Struthio camelus: one gene and its partners. The protein of the gene in region 3 binds, or shares a complex with, the protein of the main gene of each other region. Links are inferred from orthologs where the notes say so. Each region holds a gene or a part of one and is shown on either strand. Other genes may lie near its edges. The genes, in order: ITGB6, LRRC32, TGFB3 and TGFBR2.

What was found.
Region 1: the proteins of TGFB3 (region 3) and ITGB6 are in contact, whole or in part, in a crystal structure (PDB 4UM9), measured with the Homo sapiens proteins. The link is inferred for Struthio camelus from reciprocal best matches to the Homo sapiens genes TGFB3 and ITGB6. Residues at the interface, in NP_001316868.1 of Homo sapiens: His259, Gly262, Asp263, Leu264, Arg266, Leu267, Lys268; in NP_000879.2 of Homo sapiens: Ser142, Ala143, Ser144, Asp147, Pro196, Cys197, Ser199, Ile200, Tyr202, Cys204, Ala234, Asn235, Ile236, Asp237, Thr238, Glu240, Asp271, Lys355.
Region 2: the proteins of TGFB3 (region 3) and LRRC32 are in contact, whole or in part, in a cryo-EM structure (PDB 8VSB), measured with the Homo sapiens proteins. The link is inferred for Struthio camelus from reciprocal best matches to the Homo sapiens genes TGFB3 and LRRC32. Residues at the interface, in NP_001316868.1 of Homo sapiens: Leu24, Ser25, Thr26, Cys27, Thr28, Leu30, Pro347, Pro349, Tyr350, Leu351, Arg352, Thr357, His358, Val361, Leu364, Leu368, Ser375; in NP_001122394.1 of Homo sapiens: Ala110, Ser135, Tyr137, Ser160, Val184, Met186, Asp187, Ile188, Asp190, Phe193, Leu202, Leu204, Arg206, Asn207, Ser208, Thr210, Cys211, Ile212, Ser213, Asp214, Phe215, Ser216, Leu217, Cys227, Asn228, Ser229, Lys254.
Region 4: the proteins of TGFB3 (region 3) and TGFBR2 are in contact, whole or in part, in a crystal structure (PDB 9B9F), measured with the Homo sapiens proteins. The link is inferred for Struthio camelus from reciprocal best matches to the Homo sapiens genes TGFB3 and TGFBR2. Residues at the interface, in NP_001316868.1 of Homo sapiens: Arg325, Lys331, Trp332, His334, Tyr390, Tyr391, Val392, Gly393, Arg394; in NP_003233.4 of Homo sapiens: Leu50, Phe53, Asp55, Ser72, Ile73, Thr74, Ser75, Ile76, Glu78, Val100, Asp141, Glu142.

What each region holds. Positions count from the first base shown.
Region 1 is NC_090947.1:27,362,288-27,369,506, reverse strand, and holds the start of ITGB6 (integrin beta-6), read right to left. Parts: upstream 3,005-7,219; 5' UTR 2,941-3,004; intron 934-2,940; 5' UTR 868-933; intron 1-867. UniProt on the Homo sapiens protein: Integrin alpha-V:beta-6 (ITGAV:ITGB6) is a receptor for fibronectin and cytotactin. It recognizes the sequence R-G-D in its ligands. Internalization of integrin alpha-V/beta-6 via clathrin-mediated endocytosis promotes carcinoma cell invasion.
Region 2 is NC_090942.1:221,240,040-221,247,246, reverse strand, and holds the start of LRRC32 (transforming growth factor beta activator LRRC32), read right to left. Parts: upstream 3,018-7,207; 5' UTR 2,577-3,017; coding exon 2,548-2,576; intron 1-2,547.
Region 3 is NC_090946.1:58,264,550-58,271,981, forward strand, and holds the start of TGFB3 (transforming growth factor beta-3 proprotein), read right to left. Parts: upstream 3,012-7,432; coding exon 2,273-3,011; intron 1-2,272. Other genes in the region: IFT43 (intraflagellar transport protein 43 homolog), read left to right, coding at 5,295-5,345. UniProt on the Homo sapiens protein: Transforming growth factor beta-3 proprotein: Precursor of the Latency-associated peptide (LAP) and Transforming growth factor beta-3 (TGF-beta-3) chains, which constitute the regulatory and active subunit of TGF-beta-3, respectively.
Region 4 is NC_090943.1:46,973,769-46,980,846, reverse strand, and holds the start of TGFBR2 (TGF-beta receptor type-2), read right to left. Parts: upstream 3,007-7,078; 5' UTR 2,978-3,006; intron 2,880-2,977; 5' UTR 2,707-2,879; coding exon 2,613-2,706; intron 1-2,612. UniProt on the Homo sapiens protein: Transmembrane serine/threonine kinase forming with the TGF-beta type I serine/threonine kinase receptor, TGFBR1, the non-promiscuous receptor for the TGF-beta cytokines TGFB1, TGFB2 and TGFB3.

The DNA of each region.
Region 1 (7,219 bases), on a different chromosome or scaffold from region 3:
TACAATGCGAGCTGATAAAAAGTTGCTTCAGCCAAGAAATGACTGCATTTCCACAGACATTAAAATGCCTTCTGTTTTATAAATGGAATAAATAATGAAAATGCATGCACATACTGTGTCTCTATTTGCCTCGAATACAATCTTTTTGGCTTGAAATTATGCTATAATAGTGCTGCTGACTTTACATATATAAGGCAGATTTAAAATAGTTTCAGTTTAGAGAAAAATATTTTTGAATGAAATAGGTAAAGTGAAATCTTGAATATACTTTTGAACTTGAGTAATTGTTTATGAGATGTGTCATCAGTTCTCCTGGAGGTAGTTTAGTCACTTTGAGTTAATCATTAACTGAAACTATGTGAAAACCTATTCAAAGCCAGCATACAATGAAGTGTTCTGTTAGGGAAGAAATGCAGACATTGAGTCATAGTTGTCAGTTATTCATTATACTTCAGTCAATTATGATGTGATTCTTTGCAACCTTGTTCTTGCTTTTGATTTCTAGTGTGTTACTGGTCTGGTGGATGAGCTTCCCTAAGTTGGTGCAAGATCCTGCTCACCCTAATCAGGTGAGACACTTGAATGTCTAACCACCATAAGGTAACTACACTATTTTAAAACTATGTGGAAAACAAAAATGAGGGTAAAGAGGTTAGTGAACATAATATTGTTCAAGCTAACAATTACCATGTGAGACAGGAGAAAAAGAAATATTAGAAGTACAGTTCTGCGCATGGATTGCTCAATGGCACAAGAAGCCTCATTGACAAAGTCTAGCAGCCAGTGATATAATTTGTTCCCGAAGAGGGACATGGCATTTATTCATGAAGAATGAAAGCATTAGAAACGTCTACATAGCTTTAGTACCTGAAGAACCGATTCACAACTAGAACAGGTGACCATGCCTGGTTCATAAGAATGATTCAGGAGTAACTGTGGAGAAAAATAACAATGTTATCATAAAATCTGCTTTTTTAGTATGCTACTTCAGCAACGCTATGGGCCTGGACATTGCTCTGGCAATGCGTACTCGTAAACAGGTAAAACACACATTGCTGTGGATAACACCCCCCCAACCCAAATTGGTTAATTTCAAAGCCATTGACACTTTGTATCTGGCAGTACTAAAAAACAGAAGAAGATACCACCATTCATTACTAGCTAATAGAGTCTGCAGGAGAAGGTGTGCAAAGCCTGTATTCTGCTGCCAGCAAAAAGGCTGGATGACATCTGGGTTAACAGTGATTTGGAACAGGTATCTGAATGCCCTTATAAATCAGAGAACAATAGCTGTGCTGGGGAACTTGTGAGGGCACACAACAGGAGAGATCAAGGACAAATTCAGACAGGTTAAACGCTGATCGCTCCAGAGGACCATGCATGTCGTTGTAAGCAAACCCTTCAGGGAACACTAAACACACTAAACACCTCATATACTGGAGGTGTCTCTGTCTGTGTTTACTATAGGCAGAGCCAAGGGCAAAACTGGCTCCAGACTTGGGCCCCTCGGGTGCCTACTGCTACACAGAACAAATCTGGACAAAATATAAGCAACAATATAAGTTAACAATATGGTTTGTTAAATAATTTTTTTAAGCCATCTTTCTCAAATTCAAAGCGAGGTATGCTCTCGCACAGTGCATGAATTTCCCTGCATGTAGGACAAGCACAAATGCCCTTTTCTGCCTGCGCCATATTAGACCAAAGGAGATGAGTGCACGACTTATAAGTCAGTCATGATAATGATTTCAAGCAGAGCTATGTAATAGTCCAGCAGAGGACTGAATATGCTAGTAACGTCTTGTACAAAGTACACATTTATCATGATCTGATGAGGTCATCATTTTTCTTTCTCATTTTGTGAAAGTTCTCAATATTTATGGTTTAAAACAATATACAAAAGCAAATAAACCTTTTTGGTCCTTTATTTGGACTGTGATAGGATTTTTAAAACTGGCAGGCATACAACTACCCAGGATTCACGCACAAAATCAATCACATTACTGAGAAAAACATTCATTTTTACCAAGTATCCTTTACCATCAGTTCGCTCACTCGGAGTAATACAGCCTTTTTACTTGACACACAAATGATATTTATATTCTCATGTGTTACCATCTGATTTATTCCTACCACTTTTATATGACTATAAAGTATATGAATATATAATAATGCGTATTTTCTCCCTTGGTTCTTCAAAAAACATATTTTGTTTTCATTTGCTGTGTTTGTGAGTTGAGCGATGGCAGTTTGATTTAGCTAGTGCTTCTGAAATCACGTATTAACAAATCTGTCAAGACTTGGCTTTTTGCTTACATTCTTCTAAGTTCACAGTCTTCATGGTATATAGGATTTTTGTTTTGTTTGTTTTATGATCCTGATACTTTTTTTCCTTCATTGTCAGAGGGATTTTTGAGGAAGATTGTTTGTTGGAAGAACTTGCTCCTGTATTGCAACTAGAATCAGTACAGGCTTAAGCGTAGATACAGCCTCTCAAGCTTCCTCCTGGAGAGCCTTCCTGGCTTAAGAAATCCCTTAGTGCAGTTCTTGTGGGAGATATCTGTCAGCCTCTTTCTGTTTATAATTTCTATTAATACTCCGAATAACAGCCCAGGCACCACAGAGGCCTTGAGTCAATTCTACAAGGACAGCAGGTAAATATTGCCAGAAAAATAACAGCTCAGTGCTGGGAACAGGGGATTTCCAAATCTGAGCCTGAATGCCTTCAGGGAGGAAAGCCAAGCACAGAGGATGAGGAAGTCAGGAAAAGATCAGAGAGGGAGCAAAGTTTACTGAAGCTGATTTTAAACAGCTGACTAAGTTGTTGGCTTTGATTTTAACATCCATTTCTACTGAATCGAATGAATTGCCTTTAGCACAGCACTGTGGGACTGAAGCGGGCAAGAAACAGCTTCTGGCGATGGTAAGGATCATTCTTACCAGCAGGTTTTCTGTCCTGGAGAGGGACGGTCCATGCACAGTCCTACCCTCTAGACAGCTCTGCTAAGGGAGGAAAAAACCCAGTCTGTGCCAGACCTTAATAAGGCACCTCTGCAGACACAGCCAGGACACGTTACCCTAGTAGTGCTGTTCCTGGGTAGACTGCAGGGTGTCATTTCATGAGCAGCTAGCAGTGAATGAAACCTCATTTTGATCAGGCTTAACCTCCCAGCCGACAAGCCTGGAGACCGTGGAGCACTGCTTACACTGTCACAGCCTTGAGGCTGTCTGGGCACCAGCAGTGGGAAATAGGAACCCTAGGAGAGAAACGTGTGCTCAGCTGTGTTCGCCCGCACCCCTGGCAGACAGATGAGAACCACTGCAAGAGCTCTTCAGAGAGTTCAAGAGTTCAGGCTCTGCAGGACCCCTGAATTCACGGCAGCCGCTCTGGTTGTTACTGGCAGAAAGCACTTAGCAAGCAGATTGGAAAGTAAAGTAGTAATCTGTGTTTTCTTATATATAAAATACCAGATAGCAAGTCAGACAAGTTTTGGATGCCACTGAGACGCTGTCCAGGTCACAGCAGTGACTTAAGAGGCATATTTCTGTCTAAACTTTCAAAATGAAATGTTGTTAATGACAGCACAGGCATCTTACGAGTTTCCCCAAATCCCTTCAATCTTAACAGACAGTGTAAATGTTTTAATTAAAGCTTTCATAGAGAAGCAGATCAGAACTACTACATCAGTTTCCTTTCACGGCATGTTTCAGCAAGCTGATGCAGATTGCTAGGTTGATGAGATATATCAATATTATAAGACACACCATGTGTCAGGCCGAACACATTAAAGGCTGACATTAAACTTTCATATGAATCATTCAAACTTACTCAGCCATCCAGAATTGATATGAAATGAAAAGTCTGACTAACAAGTTTTATTATTTTTTTGATTTTGTAGAAGTAGGAGGATGAGGCGCATGAACAGTGGTTCATATGAGATAGCGACTTTAACTCTGCTCATGTAGGAATTGTGCAGACATTTTGATGATGATGGATAGAAATCTACATTGGCATTTTATTGAAGATATCATCATAGCTTTTTGAGAATTAAAATTTTGACAGTTTGATGGGGGGAAAGTCTGTTAAAAGTCAGGTTAAAAAAATCTACATATATCGAAACCCACTTTTTAAAAGAGCTGCCCCCCAACATCTCCCCAAGAGAAAACAGGTAATGTTCAAACTGAACGTCATTTTACTTATTCCTTTTCCTTTTGATTGTCTATTGGTATTGTCAGTTAAATTTTCTTACAAAGATGTTCAGTTGTAAAATCATTTGGGGTTAGATCTCAACCACACAACTCAGTCACAAAAACACAAGTTTACTGCACTGAGTAGTCCATGCCTTTATTGGCACAAACAGCGACCTACAAATGGTAGTTAGTACTTTCAAGATTTTACATTTCCATACTTTGGACAACATTTCATCATGATTCATCATTCTTCATCTATCTTTATTTCTACTGATTTTATTTCTTTTATAGCTCAGCTCTGTCTAGACCAACATGCAATTCCGTACAAGTACAGCTTAATCATAACTAGACATGCAAGCCTCACTGGGCAAATAGGTGATGCTCTCTAAATACTTCTCATCAGATTAAGTTTCCCTTTCTGTCTCAGTAGGATGGAAACATTTTGTTCTCATAAAAAGCCTTTTTTTCCTCCTTATTATAGGATATTGCATGTTGATGAAGTATCTCATGATGAAGTTCACTGTGGACCATTATTAAAAGTTAGTGCTGCAATACCATTACTCATTGCTGCTTCACTTTCTGCATGTTTTTGGTAAGTCTGTGGCACCTCAGAAGCTGCAACTGTCATCAGGGAACAACACAGAAGCATTCAAAGCGCTCTACAACTCTGCTAGGAGCAAGGCGGCCATCTTTCGCCATCCTGAATAGCAGTAACTCTGCAATGAAAAACAACTGCGGCGTAAGCACTAGAGATGGTGGCATAGCAAGAGAAGTGCTGAGAGCATTGCAACCAGAGATATAAGTAACAGGCCTATTCGTAGAAGTGTTTTTCCCTAGGGGATGGAGTCTTGCGGGTGACTTCATTAACTGCTGACAGCAGGCAGACCGCCCTGTGCTGGGAGTGGAAGGGAAACAGTCATCAGATGGCCCCAGCCACAACCGAGGAAGTGCACAGAAAGATAACAGACAGGTGAGGTGCTTTCCTCACTATTCAGAAGAAGTTAGTCACATCCCCGAATTTAATGCTCTATCCCTTTCCTTTTGATAAAGCAATCTTTTTGTTTTACATGCAGACTCGTGATTTGCACAAAGGGTGCTTTTGTCAATTGAAAGCACTCTTGCAGTCTCCCCAGGTTTCTGAAGGTGGGGTCTGAATTCTCTGTCTGTTGTCCATTGTAAGCAAAATCCCAAAATATCTTGGCATTTGTTACTTTTATTAGTCAGGCGAAGACACTTACCAAACCTTATTATCTGCCATTCAATGCCATGTTATATTAGACCTCTCACAGTATGTGCAATAAAACTCTTGTCACTGTGCAGCCAGCAGGACATATGCTCTCTTTGGTCTCTCTAGCACACTTAGTTACAGAAATGAGGACCCATAGCCCAGATGTCCTATTCCCTTAGAAATAGTGATCCCCAGACTATTCACTAACTTAAAAACATCCATCCCTACTGAACCTGCCTTGAGGCTGCTTGGTGTTTACCTGAAGGTGCTTTCTGCACTTAGAAGATTAATCGCTAATACAGCTAATGTAGCTAACAGCTAAACAGTTGACAGTTCAAACATAAGAGTTTCTCTACACAATCACTTCTCACTTTGCTCCAACATAAATACAGGGGGAAAAAAAATGTCGCCTTACCTCATGTTCCCCACTACACTTGAGCATCCTCCAGCTGTGGAGCAGACCTCCTCAAGCTCACAACAGTCCTTGTGCTGCGGCTCAGCTTTCCGCTGGATCTCAGAGAGTCTCTCTTCTCCGCGTCAGCTGCCTTGCCCTTGCCAGCCCCGCAGCTGAGCCCCCTCTGTAAAGGGACACTGCTGTGTTACTCCTTCTAACTTAGCTTTCCTCTCCAAATGCTCCAGATTCACCTGGTGTCTGTGTTTCAGAGATTAACTCCTTGATTATGGTCTTTCTTTAGTAAGTTTTCTACTCTCCAAATGCTGTCTCCTGTAGAAAGTTTCAAGAAAACTGGTCTAAAATGCCATTTTTCAAAAGTCCTATTCTTCCCAGAGGGAACACTACTAGTCTTTCTTTAATAACCAACCAGGCTATTTATAGGAATGGTGACAGTGTGTCTATCTCCCTAGTACAATGAGCATGAGGCAGTCCACATGAGCCATGACAGAGGCTGTTCATAAAATCAAAACTGCGATTCATACGCTGTATATCAATAGTGATTTAAGCAACCACTTTCTTCCCTCACACCAGATGGAAGAAATAAGAGCCCTACTAGCAAAGGACACATAGCATAATCTCTCTCCCAGACTGGAACAATTAGTCCATTGCTTTAGAGAATCATGTTGAAACTACTTTGATTATTAAAAGTTTTCTATTTATTATAATACTAGGTCATTCTAGGATAACGAGGCAGTGCTTCCCCCTCTACCACACTTGCTTTCTACTCAGGTCACATGCCCTTTTCAGGGGTGTTTTTTTCCCCCCCCCATAAACTGTATTGTAGGTCCATATTAACAGACCTAAATTAGGCCCTTTCATCTAAGCAGAACACGACAGTTTGGGGATGAACAACAAAAGAATCCCAGACAAACCTGAGCCAAAGCCAGAAACGGCAGGGAGGCAGAATTTGCTTAGGCTACTAGCAGGCGAGGAAGGATCAGTATCCACAGGTTGAGAGTTGGAAGACCAACATATAAGGGTCTCATCTAAGGTACTAACTGGGAAATGGAGCACAAAGAGCAGAAGTGTCCCAGTACACCTAGATTATATCATTTCTCTGGGCTGGAGGTGAAGGGCTGGGGAAAGCACTGAAAGGATTGCAAAAGCAAACAAAGAAGGCACGGATGGGCTTAGGGCTCTACCCTGGGATCAGGGAGGGAGGTAGAAGAGGAGTGGAAAGACCTGAGAAGAAGCAAAAGGGGGTTTCCTCAGAGCAGTGCCATGAGCTGCTGCAGCCAGGCAGCACGTGGGCCCAGTGGGGCAGCTGGCCACCTGCCCCTCGCCCCAGCCAGAGACCCCCCCGCTTCCCCTCTACCATGAAGGGCAACAAAACAACTACCCCATCT
Region 2 (7,207 bases), on a different chromosome or scaffold from region 3:
TTAGCACAGCTCCTGAGACTTTCCGGGAGCAAGCCTGCATCCAGCTAGCTCCAAAGCCAATCTCACTTGCATGTGCCTCCAAAAGACAGCGTCAACGTATCATTACTCAGCGGCTTCCACCCACAGAGCATCACGAGGCTGGAAGCAAAAGAGAAAAGATGGAATCGTTCCCAGCTGATGGAGATCCCTCCGCTTAGTCACTGCCTGAGGGATGCATCTGAAGCTCTGCGCTTCCACAGAGCATGGCAATTGCTGAACAGGTTCACCCGAGGGTGAGGTCTCCATGGGGCTCCCCCAGCTCACCTCCGTGACATCCTGGGACATCCATTTCTGCCAGGAGACACAAACCAGGTGCTTTCGAGCAGACTGCTCACACCCTCTGTTGCTTTCCCTTGAAGTCCCCACACCGTGACATAGTTTGATGCGTTTCTGTAGACTTCTGAGTGAAGCAACACACCTCCCTCCTCCTCCCAGCCTGACATAAGTGATGTACACTAGGAAAAGTACTGGGCAAGTTTAGGACACAGCTGCTCTATTTTTAGACTCCATATTCCTTCCATTTGAGGGAAAAAAACTGTAATGGGTGATGATCTGGGACCCCAAGATCTGGCAGGTTGTGAGTTTTTCCTCAAGACTCAACAGCATGATGAAAATCTGTTTCCTCCTCTCCAAACCCAGCCTGAATATGCTAATTCTCAAGCCTTTTAATTATTGTTTGCAAAGTGCTCCAAAAATCTTCTTGTGGAGGGAGGAACTGCTGGTAGCACCGTCTATGATGTCTTTGGTGTTCCCCCTCTGTTACACACTCCTGAGGCCTACAGGAAGTGGGTGCTTGTGGACTCTGAGCAAGGAAATTTGTCCAGGGGGTGGAGGAGAGGATGACTTTTATCATTAGTTTGCTAGAACTGAGAGAAAAGACAAACATACTGATGATGTGCAGTTGTGAAGGCGTTACTCAGAACACTCAAAAGGAAATTGTTTCTGTTTAAATGCAGTGCAATAATATGACAAATTCTCCATGGATTTTACTCACAACAGGGCACCGCCCTAACAGAGAGCGTGTCCCCCATGCTGTCCGCGGTCTACTCTGTCACACTACCAGTGCAAAAAATGGCCCCTTTGTTTCTTAAATAATAACCTTGGCACAATCCAGGGTCTTAACATGCTTTGAAACTTCATAAATTCATAAAGTAACAAGGAAACTGATATGTTTCCAACCAAGAGCATGACTTAATGGCTTGCTGTGTAAGGCAGCTCCATAGCAAGCTAGGAATCTGTCCCTCAGGGCATTGTTAGGATGACTGTCACCCTGGAGCCCCAAAGTACTGGAACCTGATGGTTTCTTCCTCAAAATATTAGACCACATAGACTCAGTCCAGAGAAGGGTAAGCCACTCCTCGTGGTATGGCGCTACATCCTCGAATTTGGAGAATCCCTTCCCAAGGTCATTTTTCAGCTTAGCTACCCAGCTGAGGAGCTTTTCTTGCTTAGATTTTCTCCGGAAGACTCTCTTGACTCTGCACCCTGGTCAGCAAGATCTTGTGTGTCCAGCACCATGTCCCCCTCCTCTCTCCCCTTCTGGCAGGTCTCAGCCACCTGCCACCTTTGCCCAGTGCAACCCTTTGACATGTTGTGGTTTAGCATCATGGACCCTTTGCTGTCAGAGGTCCTCACATTAGAGGTGCATCCCAGCACGGGGCATGGTACGGTGCTTGGTCCCATATCAGGAAGGAGCAAACACTAGACAGGGCAAAGAAGCCTGCTGAGCACAGCAGCTGTCTGTTTGCGTTGGGACTGATGGCTCTAGCCATGACTTTCAAAACCAGTCTGGGAGCAGCAAAAGCAATAACTCAACCTAAAGGAGCTTTTACTGCTGTGAGGCTTCTGCCAAGTTGAAGCAGCTTCATTCATGGTGCCAGTCTGCTCCCACTGAAAAATAGGATAAAAAATCCCAGCATTTCTCAGAGCAGGACTGAGCTTTGCATCATGTTTAATGTCACAGCTTTCCACCACAGTTTGGGAAAATTACCTAGCCCCATTCACAGTTGAAAAATACAGGTGGTGTCAGTGACACCACCAAGGAGTCTTAGCAAGCTGGTAAAATGTTCCATCATTTAGAAAAAGTATGGTGCCCAGGCAGTGTCCCTATGTCCACTTAACAGATGGGAGGGCACAAGCAGAGAAGAGCAGTGATTTGCCACAAGACACATTTGAAAACCGTGGTAGAATTAGGATTTAATCTCAGTTTGTCCAGTTCTTATGCTAGAGGAAGATTTCCCTCCATCTCTTTTATAATATTAAATTTGAAAAAAATTAATAGATGACATTTGTAAGTAACAACAGCAGCAGTTTCCAATTTTCCCCCCAAAGTATTTTTTGTTAGCTGCTTAGACAACTTATAGTGAAATTATTCTATGCCAGATAGAGGTTAAATAAAAAAGAATACGCAAAACACAAACCAAATTCCCCAAGAAATTCCTCAGACAAGACACTTTGCTTCTGTGTTAGTGCCTTCACCGTTAGAAAGAGTGAGCATTTCACATTTACCTTGTTTCAAGGGTTTCTTGCATCCCCATACACTGCTTATCATGTCTTTAAAAAGCATATCCAGGTCTTCACAACTGATTCAGTCCTGGCGCCGATGAAACTGCTCTTCAGCTTCCCATTCACCCATTCAGGATGCAAAGCGGCTTACTCGTAACTTTCGAACTACGGCATTTTGAGGGAAATAACCTTATTTGGGACAGTGTCTGCTTTAAATTATGTTGCTTGTCTTCCCTCTGATTCCTCTCCGGGCTCTTGCTGGGTCCTAGGCACCGCTGCGCGCTGAACAAAGCCAGCTACTGTATGACATCCTGCAACCCTTGCGCGGGACAGACGCGCATCAGGAAACAAGGGGATTTTGACAGAGAAATGGGCGGGATCGGGCCCCGGGTTTGCTCAGGGGAATATGTGACTTATCTTTGCCGGCTGCATTGTTTAACTCTGTGCGCGGTGCAGGCGGCGTGTTTATGTTAGGGTTTTGTGTCCGTGCGTCACATTCCTGAAGCGTTGCAGCCCTCCCACCCCGCCACCTAAATCGTTATCTGCATCTTTGCAAAAATGGCATTTGGGGATTCAAGGTTTCAGATTTGCTGTTGATAAGGAGAAAACTCACAGCTGTGCAATCTTTCCTGGAGTACATAACCCCTTTTTTTTAGTAACAGCCCTCCTGGTCCGAGAGCGCGATACCAACCTGATGGAAGGACGGGGAGTCGGTATCAGCTTCCATGCACCTGACTTAAAGCACCTTTGTGGGTTTCTCTGGGGTGATGCAGAAATTAGGGAGATTGATATGAACAAAGAAAGACCGATCCGAAAGTCTGGATGAGATGTTTAATTTTTGGCAGTGAGTACACAGTGCTCAAGCTACCAGACCCACTAGTAAAAATTCCCGTTGCAAAAGGGACACTTTTGCCATGCCTGTCAGATTGCCTGTGAGTTCAGCTCTTTATTTATTATTTTGTGCTGCCCTCTAGGGCTGGAGCAGCTGCCTAATTGCAAGTTTCCTTAGTTCATTTTCCTACTTAATCAAGACTTGCTTCTGGAAAACCTGCCATTGTGCTGATTTCCCCATTGCTGTTTCCCAACCTCGCAAGCCTGAATTGCTGCAATGCACTTCTCCTGTGGTTAAACTAACACGTCAAAGAGCGAGGCTCTTATCATGTTGTTTGCTTTTCAAAGCGCCCCGAGCATGCGAGGAGTAAATGCTACGCAGGGGCGGCCGTACATGTGGGTTGGGGAGGGCATGATGAGGTGCAAGGGATAGAAAAATCCATGTTTAGCTCTCAAGAGAACTGTTTGTCAATGAGATATTAACACAATCTGGATAGGTTCTCCTTTGCTGGACTCTCATCAGACTAGTTTTGATCAGCTTCCCCTAGCACGTATGTTCTTAAGCTTTCGTTGGTCGGAGCTGGCCACAGCACTGCCTCTTTACTCAATCGCTTTGGCGTGCTCACTAGACGCAACCTTCCATCTGCTACCCCCTTGGTGGAAGTAGGAAACTCATGTTGCAGCTGGACTTGGCCCCCAGGATTGCTGTGGAGTCCAGAAGTTTAAATGCCTTTTGGTTGCTTTGAATTTATATTTCAATTCGTCAGTAGCATGTGATATCACTTGCAATGTACAGCTACTCTTGGTGGGGAGTTTTCTCAAGGAAAACCTCAAATATTTGAGGTCTTCAAGAAAAAAAAAAACACAATATCTCTGGTGAAAGGATGTTTTGATTTGGATTTGGATAGGGAATGCAAATATCATGCATACAATGAAGAGAAGCGAATGTCTTGGGTGACTGCAGTGTCGCGTTTTCCTGCACCTGGATGTGCAGAGCAATTTGCTTTGTGAGGTCAGTGGGAAGTTTGGATTCACAGGCGAAAAAATAGCAGGGTTTTTGTTGGTGATGCTTTTTTTAAAAAGCCGTATCAGTTCCTTGAGCTAATTTACTGAACTACCGAGCAGCCGTGCCAACTGAACTGCGTGGGTGAGCCTGGACAGAAAGAAATGACAAAGCGGGAGGGAAGGGCGTCCGCCCATCCTGCTGCTCAGGACTTTGCCCCGTTGAAACTGCGACCTCAGAGATGCACCAACTGTGCTGGGAAAGGCAAGAGGTCTCTTCATCGTCTCTGCTCTTTCCCAAAGGGGATCTGAAGGGAAAAAGTTTCAAAGGCTCCAAAACATTTGGTTGGTTTCTCATTTTCAGCATTTTCATGCTTGCTCTTCTGGACTGGGCTACTCAGCAGTTTACACTGTAAAGGGCTATTGAAATATTAGCACGGCACGTGCTTGTTTCCAGGGCTATAGAGCAAGGGTCATCCCCGTCAGACAGGTTAGATCCATCAGGTAGATGGACAAGCAGGCTCTCTCACCTATTTCCAGCAGCAGTGAGGGCTTTCCCATCCCTCTGATGTCAGAGGGTTTTCAGAGCACCTGCAGTTCCGTGAAATCGGACCCTTTCTGGTTTTCTTGCGGTCTTCTCTAGGTATCACTGCTTACTTGGCTCCTACTGAAGCCAGGTGGAGCTCATGCCAGCTCTAGGCAAATCTGGCTGCACCACAAGGTGCAGCACTGGGTGCCTCTGCCACTAGCCCTGGCTCTCAGGCTCTCCCCACAACAACTTGGGGCAGGAAGGAAAAGCAAATCCCAATAGCTGGCTCTCATGAGACTGTCTGTCATCTGCTGCAGATTCCCAAGGGTTTCAGACAAACAAGAATATGTATTGACGATTATGTGACTTGAACCTCCAGACCTTTTGGAGTCTGTCCATCCATAACGTTACTGCTTTCTAAGGCACTGCTTTTGGGCTGAGCCCTGTGTCGAGCCACATGAATCAAAATCTTGAGAGAAATAAACAAAAAAAACCCTCCTTGCTTAGAAATAAGTCTGAACTGCAGGGGCAGGAGGGGGGGCAAGTCTTGATCCCTTGGACTGGAATAGCTCCTTGGTGATTCATCCCACCGGGAAACATTAATATTAACCCTATCAAAAAAAAATAAACAATCCGTGCCATCCTCAGCCAGCACCATTGGGAAGGAGGCACATCTGCAGTTCCTGAGAACTTACGACGTCTCCATAAATTCCCTCTTCTGGCTCAATTTGCTGGTGCTGTCTGCATGGTGCAGTCTTGCAGACCCACCAGGACCGCTGCCATGAGCAGACCCAGCCTCGTGGCTCTCCAGCGTCAAGTCCACACATCAAAACTGCGACACCTACACTTCATGGATCACCAGTTTCACCCAAATCAGGCCTTTCCTCCTGTCTTTTCAAGCTGCTGCCTTCCTTCCCTTTCTCACACACAGTCCTCTCTGCATGCACTTCTACCAGGCCAGGCAACCTATGACGTTTACCCCCAGCAAAAAATGATCCAGAGGACATTAGCCTTTCCGATCCCCTTGGCCAAAGGAATAAAGATAAAGTTTAGCTAGTTCCCCAACTTCCTTCACCTTTTCTTTACTCCTTTCTCCAGAAGAGAAACTGAAAATGAATAAGAATCCCACAAAGTCCGTCACCCTGGAGACTTTATAAGAGAGCAGTTGGGCAAGGGGACAGCAGCAGATGAGAAAATGAACATGCCTCAATGTACAAAACCAGCAATGAATTGGCATTTTAAGATGAAACTAAATGAAATGTTTACCCTGGAAAACAAAACTTCTGGAGCAAATTCAAATCTGGGAAAAAACTAAGAACCTTTTCTCATCAGCTTAATCTACGCATAGCAAAGACAGAGACGCTCATTTTTACACCCGCAATTTTTTCTCTTAACTGCAGGTGCATTCAGTCTTTAAGAAAAGATGTATTCAGTTTATGTGATCCAATAGCAGGTAAAATGAAGGGAGGAATTTTAGTTCTGATCTATTTGACTTGACTGATACTGAATATCCGTCCTGAGAGTTATCCATCATTCTGTTAGTAAAAGGCTAACCACTGATCTATTCGCTAAGGTGTTACTACCTGCTTTAAAAAGAGATGGCTGTTCATGAATTTTTGTTATTGGAAGTAAAATATTTTCAGTATTTTAGAATAATAATGTCATTTTAAAGCTGAAATGATTACATTTGAATAAAAAAAAATCAATTTTTCACTGTTATTTAAGTTTGGCTTTTATTTAAAGGAAACATTTGCACTTTTATGAAGAAAATAACAGGATTTACTTTTAGAAAATTATCTTTAGTTCTTATATAGGATGAGATTTTCTGGAACTTTATAATTTCCAGATTTTGTAAAAACGTTAATTCCTCATGATAAGAGTACAGATTCAGCAAAACAGCTACTATCAGCAAGTTGTCATTTACCCAAAGTGAGATCCAAGCTGTCAGGATCTTAAGAGTCGAAAAAAATAACTCTGCTGTCTCACATCTTGTACTCCAGCAAGGAGAGTCCAATGACAGCTTTAACGGTGAGAAGACCAGATGATCTCAATAGTACTCTGTGCATTTTACACGGGCACTGTGTGATTTGCCCAAGGCTATATTAGGAGTCCGTGTCGGAGAGCTTGGGTAGCAGCATTTAATCAGTGCACAGGACTGATCTTTCTGCAGCACCCTTGGTTCAGAGCTCTGTAATTCAGTAACACCGTAAATAGACTAAAATTCTGCGAAGAAAGAAAAAACGTCTGCCCGTCTTCTGCAACTGTTAACACAGAGAGTAATAACAAAAAAGGAATATGATA
Region 3 (7,432 bases):
CACATTTCAGACTTGTCTGTATCATCCTCACAGTTCCCTCAATGGAGCAGCCCTCCCCTTCCCCCCAGGAGGAGACTGGCTCTGGCTCAGAGCATGCTCTGAGATCACCACCTGGCACAGTGACAGAGTCATGGGAAAGTTGAACATCAGCCACTTTTGAAGACACAGGGCCAAATTCAGCAACGGTGTAAGCAGTGAAACTCCCCAGGTTTCAGAAAGAGCATGCCTCTACACCACAGCCCATCTGGAGCCAGTTTCTCCCAGTGTGACCCAATTCCAAAGTTGTTTCTTTCTCTGGATAGTGGGATCTACCCAGCCGGCTCCCAGGAATTCAATCCTAACACTAGCTGGTCTTCTGAACCCACTGCTCAGAGCCATGTCCTGGTGTCCTAGATGGAAATGCGAAAGGTCCATTCATTTCCATAGGAATGGAAAGGAGAGGTCAGTATTTATCTGGTAGACAGTGGCTGTGGGAGTTTCCTCTCAGCGATCTCTGCACTCACCTGCACTTTTACTGCCCTGAGCTCCCCTGTCTTGCACTTACACCACCAACTCACATTCTCTCCCCACTGTCTTCTTGCTCCTTCTTATGCACCATACATCCTCCTCTTACCCCTCCACTTCACCCAAATCCACTTCCCTCTGACTTCATTTCCTACTGCTGCGCTTTTCAGTTTCCTGCTCCAGAACCCAACTGGTTCATAGTATGGCTATGTTATTTTGTGCAGAGACTTGGTTTACCCATACATTTTTAGCATTTCACAACGGGCGCTTTAGTAGGTCAAAAATGTTGAAATACGGGTAAGCTGCTAATACCCTGTGCACTTTCTGTTCCTCGAGTCTTGGGGTCTCCTGCGCTAAAAGCTAATCATATAAGCATATGGAGTGCAGTCTGCTAGAGATTAAGTGAAATCTGTTGCATTACCACATTGTGGCTCTTATTCCAGCTCATCATATGTAAAGATTAACATAAACCTGGCAGAGTAGCTGCATTCTGGCTGCCTATACTGAGTCCCAGCTCCTCCCCCGGAACTGCTGGTGTTCAGTGTCCCCAAGAGTGCACTGCATCACAAGAGAGCACCCTGGATGGTGATGTGACTGAATGCCCACCAACTTCTTCTAGCAGGAGGGAGTATTAAGCACTGACTGAAAGGATTGCTTGTGCCTCCATCTGCTCAGCATTTGCAATGTGCTTGGGTTCATGTCTGCTCAGTCTCTGTCTTTGCATCTGCTCAGCTTCTGCACCTGAATCTGTTTAGTGTCTGCATCTGGGCCTGCTCATCTGCTCTGCACCTGCTCAGCATCTGTCATGTTTCCTCAGTGCCTATGTTGTTAGTGGTGAGGGTCTCTTTTGCCTCGCTGTCTGTTTTGCACCTGCTCAGCATCCTGTTATCTTCTGCTCACTCTCTGACCCCTCAGTAGTTGAGTAACATCCTCAAACAGTGTCTTCCATGCAGGAATCTTTTTGGCAAATGCCCTTCCACCTTCTCTACAGCCAATGTGGGCTCTGCACAGCCTGGACAGGTTGACTGTATCCTGTCAGCAGGCACTGGAGCTTCAGCAAGGAGGAGCCAGCTGCCAGCTGCGGAAGACTTGTCCTTTAATGTGGGACCTTTTCGTTCTCCTAGCCCCATGCTAAGCGTTCGCCCTGAGACCCAAACTGCCTCCTCTTCCCTTCTCTCGTCTTCTTCCCCTTTCTCCTCTTTCCTCCAGCCTCCTGCTCTGTCCTCCCCTCCCTGCCTTCTCTGGGATGTCGGGGCTCCAGATGCGGGCTTGGTGTGCTGCTTCCTGGCTGCAGCCAGGGCCGATGTCCTTCCAGGACACCGCAAACCTATCCCTGCCCGCTGCCAGTGCTCGGCGCCTGCCACCCGTGGCGGGGCGGCCCTGAGTGAGCCCGCACTGCCTGGTTATCGGGGCTTTCGGAGGTCGCCTCCACTCGGCTCCCGCCGCCCGGGGGCCCGGGACAGCGGCCGTAGCGCACCCCGCCGCCGGCCCCGGGCTCGCCTCCGCACCCGGGCGCGCAGCCGTGCGGAAACGCGCCCCCACAGAGGGGGCCCACGTCGCGGCGCCCGCCCCCGCGTCCGCCCGCGCCGCCGGCAGCGCCAGCGCCGCCCGCCGCGAGGCCGCCCCCGCCCGGGGGCCCCTCCGCCCCGGCCCCGGGATCCTGCCCGGCCCCGCAAGCCGCCTCCCGCGCGTCCCGGGCAGCGGGGCGCCCTGCGGCGCGGCATCCCGCGCCGGCCGCACCCGCCGCGCACGGCCGCCCGGAACTCACTGTGCTCCGGGAGGCCCTGGATCATGTCAAATTTATGGATCTCCTTGGCATAGTATTCGGACTCGGTGTTGTCCTGAGAACAGCTCTCCTCTTTCTCCTCCTCCATCTCCTCCAGCAGCTCCCGGGTGCTGTTATAGAGAGCCAGGATCTGGTAAGGCACATGCGCCGGCCCCACGGTCTCCGGGGGGCTGGTGAGGCGCAGCTTGCTCAAGATCTGCCCCCGAATGGCTTCCACCCTCTTCTTCTTGATGTGGTCAAGGTCCAAGGTGGTGCAGGAGGACAGCGAAAGGCTCACGGTGGCGAAGCTCAGCAGGCAGAGCAGCACCAGAGCCCTTTGCACGTACATCTTCATGTGCGAGGGGGCCGCGGCGGGGCGCCCCAGGAGAGACCCCCGGGGAGCGGCGAGCGGGCGCAGGAGACCGGGCGGCGCTTTCGCGGCAGCCTCCCGAGATCCCGCAGGCTGAGGCTTGGCAAGGCGGTGCATGAACTCACTGCGCCGAGCGCGATTCAGGACTTCCAGGAAGAGCTGGCAGCGCTCCGCAAGGAGAAGCGGCAGGCTCCGTGCCGCGCCGCGCCGGGCGCCTTCCCCATGCGCCTCCCCGCGTCCCGCGGAGCCGGGGCCGGGGGCGGCGCGGAGCCGGGAGCGCCCCGCCGCGCCGCCGCCGCCGCACGTGTCAGCGGGCTGGGCCGCCCCGCCGCCGCGGGGGGAGCGCGGCGCCCGCCCCTCTCGCTGCACCATTCATGCCCCCGCCGGGCCCCGCGCCCTACATTGCCCCGCTGCCCGCCCGTCCCAGCGGGCGGCCGGTGCGCGGCCCCGCTCCGCTCCCCGCGGAGCCCGGCGGCAGCAGCCCGCGCCCGGCCCGGCCCGGCCCGGCCCGCCGCCGGGCTGCCCGCTGCTCCGAGGGCTCCGCTGGCCGACGACCCCCGGTGGCGTGGCACACCGCACCGCACCGCGCCCCTTCCCTCCCGCACACACTGCCTCTCTCCAGGCCCCGCCGCGGAAATTTTATACCTCCCTCCCATGACGTCCCCGGGACGGGCCACGGGCGGGGGAGGGAGCTCCAAGCCCGGCCTTCGCCTTCAGCACCGCGCTGATGGCTTCAGCAGGCGCGGAGCCGGCACAGCCCGCCCTCCGCCGCCCCCCGCGCCGCCGCCGCCCGCCGCCGCCGCCGCCGCCGGGCCCTGGCACCCCGGGGCGGGGGCGCCTCGGCCGCGGGGCGGGCTCGGGGCGGGCCGGGCCCGCGCCCCCCGCGCCCTCCGACGTGGCCCGGCGCGGCGGCGGCGGCGGCGGCGGCGGCGGCGGCGGCGGCAGGTCGCGGGCGCCTCCTGCTGGCGCCGCCCGGGGGCGGCCGAGCCCCTTCGCGGTGGTCGGCGAGCGCCGGCGGGCGGCGCGGGGCTGGCTCCTCCCTCTTCCAGCTGCGAAATCGCATTCAAAGCGGCTAAAAATACCCCGAATACTTTCCTGATGTGGTTTCTTTCCGAGGCAGGGAGGGCGGGCGCCGCGGGCGAGGGGCTGCGGCGGCCCCGGGCGCAGAGGAAGGTGGCTGGTGGCCACCGAGGTGCCGAGGAGCCACCGCAGCCCCTCCGGGACGGCTGGGCCCTGGGAGGGGGAGCCGGCGCCCCCGAAAGCTGGGCGGGATGGTGGCTTGGTGCCTTCCTGCCCCAGCAGCAGCCGCTCGCAGAATCAGTCGCTTTTTCAGCCGAAAGAGCAAGCTGGCTGTCCCTTTGGGACGCCCACTGCGGGCTGCGGGTGAGGAGGAGCTGGGCCCGTGGACACCTGCGGGAGCAGTGCCGTGGCGGGTGTCCAGGCCTGGGCAGGTGCCTGCTCCGGTGGGGCAAGGCCCTGGGGTGTCGCGCTCTGCAGGGCGGCCCCCAGGGCCATGCAGCTCCCACGGTGCTGCCCCAGGCCCGGGTGTCGAGCGTTGGGGACTGTCACAGCAGCACCAGGGATGCGCTGCTGGATGTGCTGGCCCCGGCTGCAGGGAGCCTTCCCTCGCCCAAGTGCCCAGGACTGCCCGGGACCAGCTGCCGGGGCTGGTGGCTCAGGGGTCAGCAGCGCACAAAAGACGCTGCGTGGGGAAGAGGTTCGGCGAAAAGCCGTGAAGCAACTTGATGTGTTGGACACACCGCGAGTGAGTTCCCCAAGACTCGAGGAACTCGATCTGTTTTACTCTTCAAAGGGGAGATTAAGGGGGGAGCTGGTCCCAGCACACGAACGCTTTGCTCAGGGAAGAGGAACTTGAGAAGACAGGTCCTTAACGGAGCAGACAAAGATGTAACAAGATCCAGTGGCTCTGAGATGATGTCAGACAAATCACGACTTGGAATAAGGTAGAAATTCTGAGCGCTGCCATTAACTATCCACTGGAATATTTTAACACAGATTGGGATGGACATTTCTAAAACTCCCCAGGCACCTCTGAAATGATTTCTGGATGCTTTTCCATGCTGGGAAGTCCTGCACCCCGCATTACGTTGGAGGTTACACTTAATGCGGCAGAACTGATTGCTTTGGACTTCAGCAATCCATTGGCTACAGTGCCACATAGTGAGTTATTAGTTAAGATTGAGATAAGTACAGGAATTATAAGAGATTACTAGAGGAGTTCCCCAATGGCTGGTCCTGGGCCCAGTTTTCATTAACGATCTTGGCGCACTGAAGTGAATGCGCTAATGAAATTGGCTGCTTATCCAAAGTTGGGAGGCATTGTCAATACAGGGGAAGACAAGGATATCCTTGGTTGACACACTAAAAATGGGATGAAATTTAATAGTACAAAATGTAAGGTCATGTTGTTAACAGCTGAGAGCAGGCTTTTCTGTTACTTACCACTTGGAAATAACAGCATTGAAGAAAGATGTAGGTGTGGTGCTGGTGCCAGTATTGGGCTGCTCACTTTTGGCTCTGCCTGTTGCTCTTTCTAGGTTGTGAAGCGGCAGGGAAGCTCCATGGTGTGACGCGCACAGGAATCACTGCTAGTGGCTGTGAAGAGCAATTGGTAACAGGTTGCACGGCTTGGACATGCTGGAATCCAGCTGGGCTGAGGGAGAGCTTGACAGGGCTACCGAACATGTGAGCATCATAGGAAATATTTCACGCTTGGCAAGCTTGCCTGGGGTTTGACAGTCTGAGCTGGGGCTGATGTAACTTGAACAGCATCTGTTCTCATGGAGATCAAGAGAGCCAAAGGCACAGGCCTAGTCTATCTATCAAAGCCCCCTTTGCCTTTCAGAGAGAGAAATCTCGTTTGAAGTTTCACAAATATTAACAGATATTGTTCTGGAACCTGCATGAGTAACAGAGTATTAGCAGTTTTTCCCTCCTCCAAACCCCCTTAGAGATGGGGTAAATACTTTGAGATGCTTGGGGGAAAAAATGCAGGAAAGTCAAAATGAGGTGCTTGGAGCAGCTAGCGTGGAGCAGGCTTGGGCAGCTGTTGTTCACTTGGTGCTTTCCTTCCCAGGGGAGGCTTAATGTTTACAATGAATCAGTCCATGTTGAAGTCAGCAGTCTGGCTGGCCACGTTACATGCGGACTGGATGAGGAAGAAAGGCACAATGCTCTGTCACTGGTTGCTACAAGAATTGCCCTTGCATCCCGTAAAATCTACTGCCATCAGAGAGCACACAGCTGCTTAACAAAACCTCCAGCCACTGTGAATAAGGTTCTCATTGTTCTCTCCCACCGTAGTGCTACCGTGTGGGCTTCCCCCCGTAGCTGTAGCTTTAACTATACGTGTGTGCGCTTGCTGTAATGGTGGCTGAGGATCAGAAGCATGTGGGAATGCTCAAGCATGATTGCTTTCCCAGACTCTCCAAAGTGTTCTCTTAGGTGGAAGGACGACCGGACACAAGCTCTATTCACAGGTCCAATCAAGGAGCAATCAACAGCAAACAGTGCTGGTGGAGGACTCCGCTAGTCCTTTTCTGTGTGATTGGATTTGGGTTGAAACCAGATGGATAGAGTCCATGCTTAGGTGTGAGAACTTGTACGTGAAAGGAATGCTTGCATAGTTCCTACTTGCTGTTCAGATGACTGGCGGTAGCAGCATTTTAGTTTATAGTGAAGACAAAACTGAACAAGTAAGGCAGACTGGGAGTTGAGAATACGCTTGAAACAGACCACTGGAAAAGAGCAACCCTGGCACCACAGACCCTAACTGAAGGGGAAGCAAGCAGACAAAATGACTTTGGACAGCCACAGCAGCAACAAACATTTGTCCCATTAACTATGTCTTGGTTAAACAGGGGCTGCTGCAGGCCCAGGGTCAAATGCTACCTGCGGTGTCACAGTTGGACATAGGAGAATTATCCTGTTCAGAAAGTATGACCCTGATGTTTAAAGTAAGCAAGATTTTTGCCACAGCATGAAATGACAGATGAAAACTCTCCTCCAATGTGAAGGCAGGCAAAGATGTGTGAGGGTGGGTGACAAAGCCCGTTCCCGTGAGTGGAACCGTCTGTGTGGGAACCCAGAGAGAACCGAGGCAGGACAGTTTTTAAGTTTCACTCTTTCTGCATATCTGCTCTTCCCTCTCATCAAGAATTTCTGAAGTCAGAGGTCAAAGTTCTGGGGCAAGACTCAGTTCTGCACATGCTGAGCTGTTTTCTTTCCCATATGTGGACGCCACCGTCCTTTGGACAGCCTGAGACTCGTGTCACTGGGGTGGGCAGCAGGCATCACAGCGTTTGTGCTTGGGGGGCTTGGTGCCTGGGATGGGGACCAAGGATGGGTTATGGGGAGGGGGCCGGGAGGTGCCGCTCAGGATGAGTGAACCCAAGGGTCCTGCTGCTTCTGAGGCTGTCAGGCCAGGGGAGACCAGCACCGCTGCGCACCCTGTACTGCTGCCCTGCCCTGCCTCCAGCTGGAGCTCCCTTCCCTTGTCACCAGCTGACAGTGGCTACCCAAGGTCTCCCGCCCCAGGGTACCCTCCTGCTTTAGCAGACACTGCTCGGGGCACCGTCGCACTCCCTTCGGGATGCTGTTCCCCCAAGCGAGAAGGGCAGCTGTAATTGTACACTCACGCTCAGACATCCTGCTAATGAACCTGGGCTGCGGCCCCTTCTCTCTCCTGGTGCCCCTGTAGCTGCACGGTTGTGGCATCTCGTCAGGAGACTGGATGGGAAGGGGCAAGTGTGGACCCACGTTCCACAGGCCCT
Region 4 (7,078 bases), on a different chromosome or scaffold from region 3:
TGGCTGAATGAAGAAATTAAGTTCCAGATATTCAGAAATGAGGAATCATTACACAGATTATTCCAAAGCACAAATTTAAGTTTTTAATACTCCAAATATAAACTACAGATTCCAATTTCACTTGGACAAAGCAGCGTTCATTTCTTATGCAGGCGACTGCTAATTTGCACTGCCATTTATCAGTGTAGCAGTCACAATCATTCAAAAAACACAACTTGTCCCTTTAGTCCATGGAAATAACTTCAACTACTTGTGTCTAGAACAGGATATTTGAGCATCTTTTTCAAAGGAAATACTTGCTATTGGACCCGCTCATGAATTCCTGGCTTTCTCCAGAATTTTTGTGTAAACGTGCTGTTCTTGACCAGTATTTTGCTAGGAAGAATGTTAAGATGAAATTTTAGCCGAGGTTCTGTTAGCCCCCCTCACCAACAACAGCAGGTAGTCAGTACACACACCTGGGAAGCAAGCTCTCCTGAGGCTGTTATCCGTCCCGCCTCATCCTCTCCCAACTGCAGAGCTATTGATTATTCCAAAGAGAGTAGCTCTTCTTGGGCTTTGTTTGGTTTTCCCAAACAAAGTTTCTAGTTTTCATTCTGATGACTACTAAAAACCAACATCCAAACCTCACACTTGCTGCCCCCACAGAATTGTTGTTTTCTGACCAGTGCTACCTCGTTACACGCTTAGTCCTGCAGTAATTACAAAAATGGAATTTTGAATATGATCAATTATCTGACAACAGGTCAACCCAATTTTGGTTACTGTAGAGTGCAGATGAAGATCAGCATGAAATACGCTGAACTGGAAGGAAATCTCTATTTTTTTCCTCACTGGCTCTATGACAAGAAAGAAGACATCAAAAAATTTCTTAAGATAGGCCCATTAAAAAGTTTATCTGTAGTTTGAAACTGTCTATACTGGTTGAGCAAAAAAGCATAAGCAATAATAACAGAACAGCAGCTTTATAAAACTGGAGCTTTTCAGTTTAATTCCGTTAAAGCTTTGTGTAATAGGAATCTACAGTAATATTTTTTAGGCCAGGATCAAAATAAAAGCCATCACTAGCTGGGTATGGTTTATATTAATCATAAATATATACCAAAATCAACAAGAAGCTGCATGCCTCAAATTTAAAATAATAATAAGATATTGTGCCCTAGGACACTACAGACCCTTATTCTTAAACTGTTTAACTGTTTTTTCATGTGCCTTAAACTTACGTGAGTAACTTTACAGGTATGTAAGGCCTGTTGACTTTGACTGGGTTATTAACGAAGCATTAAGTTAGTCATGTACACAGCTATTTGCAGTGGCTATGCGAGAGCTATCCAGTTTATGTTGTTATTTTTCAGCAACAGTTTTGAGACCGTTATTGAATGGACCACAGGGGAGAACTGGAGCACCAAGCACAGCTTGGAAAAGCTCAGGTGCCTGTTCCTCTTACCTAAAGACTAAAACCAGACATTCAATATAACAAGGCACCTCAGAGATCTGCTTAATACCGCAAAACTGTTTCAGATACAGTTTTGCTGCGATAGGATGTTCTCTTTTTAACTTCGCCAATGGAGCTGCAACGCGATTTAGGGCCTAACCTCGCAGATAGAGATGTTAGTTCACACGCGTGGGTTAGCACTGGTAAGACTGGGACCAGAAGCTCCTCAGGGTAGGGGCCCTGTTTTCACAGGGGCACTTCAACCTCTCCGTGCATTCCAAATTACTCTGTGAAGAGTAATACGAGCCACAGCCTCAAAACATCTCTCTACAGATGTCTGGATAAAAACAGCCAGAATAAGGGACGTAAAGCATCAGTAAAAGTGAATTAAACAACATGAGCACTTTAAGACATCGAGCGCTACAAGAATGACTGCCGTTCCCAGTGCAACTGCTCACAAACCATGCCTTAATCCTGCTGCAGGCAATGCCGCAGAAACTCCCACAGAGTCAAATAACTTTTTGGTAAGTAACCGCTGATCGCCTCGGCAGCCAGCTCTGCGGCCGGGCGCGGGCCCACCGCCCCGAAGGACGGCACGCACAGGCTCGGGCCACGCAGCACCCACGGCGCTCTCTGCCCGGTGTGGGCGGGCAGGGCCGCCAGCAGCGGCGCCGGAGCCGTGCCCCGCGGCGGCGGGAGGTGCGGACCGGCCGCCCCCGCCGCCCCCAGGTGCGGAAGCTGCAGCAGCTGCAGGGCCCGGCAACCTCTCCGCCCGGCCCGGCCCGGCCCGGCCCGGCCCGGCACAGCAGGCAGCTCCCGGGCTGCCCTCTCCGGCTCCTCCGGCCACATGAGACCCTGTTGCATTTCCTGCCAAATTCTCTCTTTTTCTCCCTCGCTTCCCTCTGCCGACGGACCTCACTGTCTACTGTGAGTCCCCCCCCCCCCCACTCAAGTTCCCCAGCCCTTTTTCCCCCCGGTAACTCCCCAGCAGGGCAATAAATAAACACGCGTGTCCTCCCTACCCGCCCCCCCCCGCGTTTTGTTACCAGCTTCAAAACTTTCTTAGCAACCAAATCCTCCCCCTCCCTTGCCACCGCTCCCGCCTGCGGCCGAGCAACTGTCAAGTGAAAACGCTCCGCAGGCTGCACCGGGGGCCGGGGCAGCGGCGCGCACTTACCCCGAAGCAGAGCGGGGACCGAGCTGCCCATTAGGAGCCACACGGAGACGCGCAGCAGCAGCCGCCGCAGGCTCCTCGGCAGAGCGGCAGGCATCGCCGAGCCGCAGCCGCATAGAGAGCGAGGCCGAGGCGGGGCGCGGAGCGGCGCGGAGCGGCGGGCGCCCGGGCAGCGGGAGAGGCCGCCGGCGGGGCTGGCACGGCGGCGCGGGCTGCGCTGCTTTTGCTGCTCGGGACCGCGCGTGACTCACTAAAAACTTCACTTCGGCGCTGCAAGGGAAACAGGAAATCTTAAACTTCGCAAACAGCTGGGCAGGACTTTCTTTCGTACTCTTACAGGAGTTCCTTCTCCCCCCTTCCACGCTCACCCCCTCCTCTGCGCTCGCTCCTTTTCTTTCTTTCCTTTTTTTTTTTTTCCTTTTTTTTTTAAACATGAAACCTCACCCAGTTTGGTGTCAATCATCTGCCAGAGGCCAACCCCTCGCAGGTCTGGCTCTCCCACCCCGAGCGCGCCGGGCCAGCCCCGACGTGCTGCCGGGCGCCCGGAGCTGCCTCCCCCGGCGGGAGCGCGGCGCCCCCGGCGCGCCCCGCCGGGCCCCGAGGGGCGGCACCGGCAGCGCGGAGGCTGGGAAACGCCGGGAAACGGCGAGCTCCGCTGCTCCCGTGTCCCCACGAGCGGACGAGGGCCCAGTCGTGGCCTTGGAGCGTGGGGGCTTTGCAGCCGTAGCCCTGCCCTTGGCGGTGCTGCTGCGGCCTGTTTCGCGCTCTGCCGGACCGGCATCTGAAAGAGGAGACGTAACCCCCTGATGAACTAAAGCAGGGGGTAAGGCAGGTTGAAATCAGGGTAATAACAGGAAATGTTCACACTGACGAGCTGGGCACTCGGCTTGCAGATGCTGAAGCAGACTGTGACAACTCACCACCTGCCTCTTTTTTGCATTTTGCTCCCAAATGGGCTGGATGCACACCATTTGCTCCCAAGCCCTGCACGTGTGACACAGATGAAGTTCATCTCCCTTCCTCTCTAAAGCAGCCTCAGCTTTTGCCAGAGATTTCTTCAGAAAGGAAAAATTGCACAGAGCATTCAGGGAGTGGGACCATACCAGTGATGTCAGTTATGCATGACCCAGACAGAGGTGACTGAACCACTAGATCCTCAGCAGGTTTACACTGAATAAGGCCTGTGCCTTCTGCCTGTATAAGTCCAGCCACTGCATAGCCAGGAATTGCCTTGAGAGCCATTTCTGGTTCAGTCTTCCCTCCTCTCCGAGTTAAATGGCTGGGCATTGATTGAAAAGTAAACTGCTGCACATGGGGATAATTTGAGAATGCCTGCTCAAATTGTGGTGATTCACTTTTGTCTTGATTACAGCACGAATTAGAGGTACAGATTTGGGTATTTCAGAAACAAGGCTAAGCCCTCACGGGGAATATGCATAATCATACTCTGAATGTCCCACATCAACTCTGTATGAATTTGGAAGTGTTTACATAATGCTTTTAATTGGCCTGTAACAGGCATAAAAAATCTCATTGTGATTTTATGTAAATTTATTTTTAAAAACTCCCTAAATGCATGTTTTCACAGTGCAGCCCTAGTTTATTGTGCACATTCCCATAAACCTCTCCAAGAGCATTTTCCTTCCCTCCTTTTAAATGCACTCAAGATTCATTCAAACAAAGATGCCACCTTCCAGAGGAGGTAAGAAATGTCAGATTCACCTTTGAGTACAGACCTGGAGTGTTCTTACCAGTTCCTGAGCATCCACGCTATGCTAGAAATTCTGTTTTTAGTAATTTATTATGTGAAAGCATTTCTCAACCCCCATCAACATTTGTTGTAACAATGTAGCTGTCAAGAGCCGCTGTTTGCTTAGAAACTTGGCTGTGTATGCTGCTTGAGCTCTCCTGTTAGTTTTGCCTGACTAACTTCCAACATGTAAGGAAGCTAAAAAGCCATTAAATATAGATTTAACGTTAGTATTCAAACCTGTCAAAATTCAGGTATGATTCAGTGAGCTGGCCTCTGCCTCACTTTCCACTGCTGTGGCACCTGATCTCTCCCCCTGACGTGAGTGCCGTGGCTCTTCCTGCGCACTGCGACCTTCGGACCAGTAGAGGAGAGGGGCTTTGGGGACGCCTCAGTCCTGAGCGCTCAGGGCCCCAACCGTCTCACATCTCTGACTGCAGCCTGGCATCGCGGCTCTTCTCCATCACGTTCCGTGATACTGCTCGTTAGATAACCCAATAAGCAGGGAGTCTACCATATGTGGACTTCAGAAGTCTAATTTTTCCATGTAAACATTGCTTTTGTTTTCACAATATGTCATACTAGGAAGTATGACTAAGAATAACTTCATATTAGGACGTTTTCTGGGTGGATGGAGGAATATATCTTACCTGGATATCCTCAGTGGAGAAATAATTCAGTCACAGAAAGTCCACACGGAAGTGGAAGTAAACTTCAGTTTGGTTCATAGATTTGTTGTAGACAGGCTTATTAACAAAGCTCATGTCCTGCCTTTTTGAGTACTATAAGCTTCCATGTTAAGGCCCAAATTTAGTTTAATCAGGATTTCCTGGACAACCAAGAATATATAAAACAAGGCTAAGCTGGTCATATCTTTCCATTTCCTTATTCATAATTCCCAGTTCCCTCTTTGCAGACTGCAGTTTATTACTTCTAGATTGAAACTGTGAATAGTTAACCTCAGCCTAAGGTGAGAAAGAGCCAGCCTTGAAGAGCCGCAGATTGGAACTAAATAATTAACTCCAGCCTGACTGAGTAAGGAAGGGCCAGCTAATTTCAGTTTGCTACTTAGAAAAGCTAAATACTGAAATACTGAGTATTCTTTGTTTTCTTTCTGAGCCTCAAAAATGATCTAAAGAGATACCCAGAACACAAACAAGCTAATACCTCTCGCACCTCAGAGCCTTCTAGTGAAAGATAACACAAGTGCTTCTTGCTGCAGTTTTAGGTACCACTTTTTATAACAATTCATAAAAACTAGTGAAAGCAAATGGTTTCTCTCTTTCCTAACCCAACTATTTCTCAGCTTGCAATGTCATATTTCTGTCAAAATTCCATGATTCCATAATTCTACAGCATTATTCTCATATGAAGAACCCTTTCAAGCCTCCACAAAACTTGCGTTCTTATTACAACTGCAGTTTCACTGTATGTAACATCCACCTTTAGCTCAAAGTCATTCTACTCACAAGCCACTGGATTGCCCAGTAAAGCCATTACTTTGATTAGTTTATTAGGTCTGGTGTTTCTTAGTTTAAGAATCCCTCAACAAGCTGTTTCTGAGATCCACTGACTCAGAATTAGAGAAGGCCTAAACAGCTGCACCAGCACAGGATAGTGTTTATGCCTGTATGAAGCTGACATGTGTGGCTTGCGGTGAAAACATCTCACTTAACTGTAGCTCTCCAAAAGTTAGCCTCAGAGTGAGGTTCCAGGAGACACCTGAGACAACAGAAAGCCTAACAGCTTTCCTGCTATGAAAAGAAGCAATCGCATTTATTCAACTGCATAGTGAGTTAGTCCCAGATCAAGTTCAGGGACCAAAGGATAGAGGACAACAGCTGGATGAGCAGGATTGCCCTTTACAGGGGCAGCAAGCTATTCGGTCTGCTAAATTCCCTCCATCATCAACGGATGGAGAGGATTCTAGCTGTTTTAGAAACCTCTAGAGACCTGAGCTAACGATAGCATAATTGGCCCAGACACCTAGTTTTTGGGCAGCTGATCTTAGATGAGATGACTCCTAATGAAAATGTTCTTTGAACTGTACAAGTTGTATAACATAAGCTACAGGATGCTTTACTGACTGGCAAACATTGGGATTTCTGCCTGTGTTTTTTGTTTGGAATGAAATGAGGCAATGAGGAATATCGTATGCTTATACCGCTTTTACAGAACTATCAATTACACAACTGGCATAAGCAGTTTGACCAAAACCAAAACATTTATGACTATAAATAAACTTGGTGACAATTACCTTCAAAAGAAAATTGGTAAATCTTTTTGACAAAGTTGACACATCCCGTTTGGACATTTTTGGAATGAAACAGATCTTTTTTTGTTGAGATGCAGCCAATTAGTTTTGAATTTTTGTTGTTTCCTCATTTTACACATAAAAACAAACAAAAAAGAGCAACATACAACATCCTGATTTCACTGAAGTGAAGGAAGAGGTTTATTTTCAGGGAAGTCTTGATATTTCAGTTCAAATCAAAGACAAATTTTGAAACCCTGTATTCTTCTTAGACCAAAACTTCTGCTTTTTACAGTGCACCGTTCATGAAGCTGACATCTCTCCTCTAATTTTCAAATTCAGGATGCTTGGCACGGAGTATTGGCCTTTCAGCATTCTTAATAAAAAGCCTGCAATGTCTTGTGCACCATTTATTGCTGAAGAAGAACACATAGTCCTCTACAGACTCATGTTAAACTACTGTGC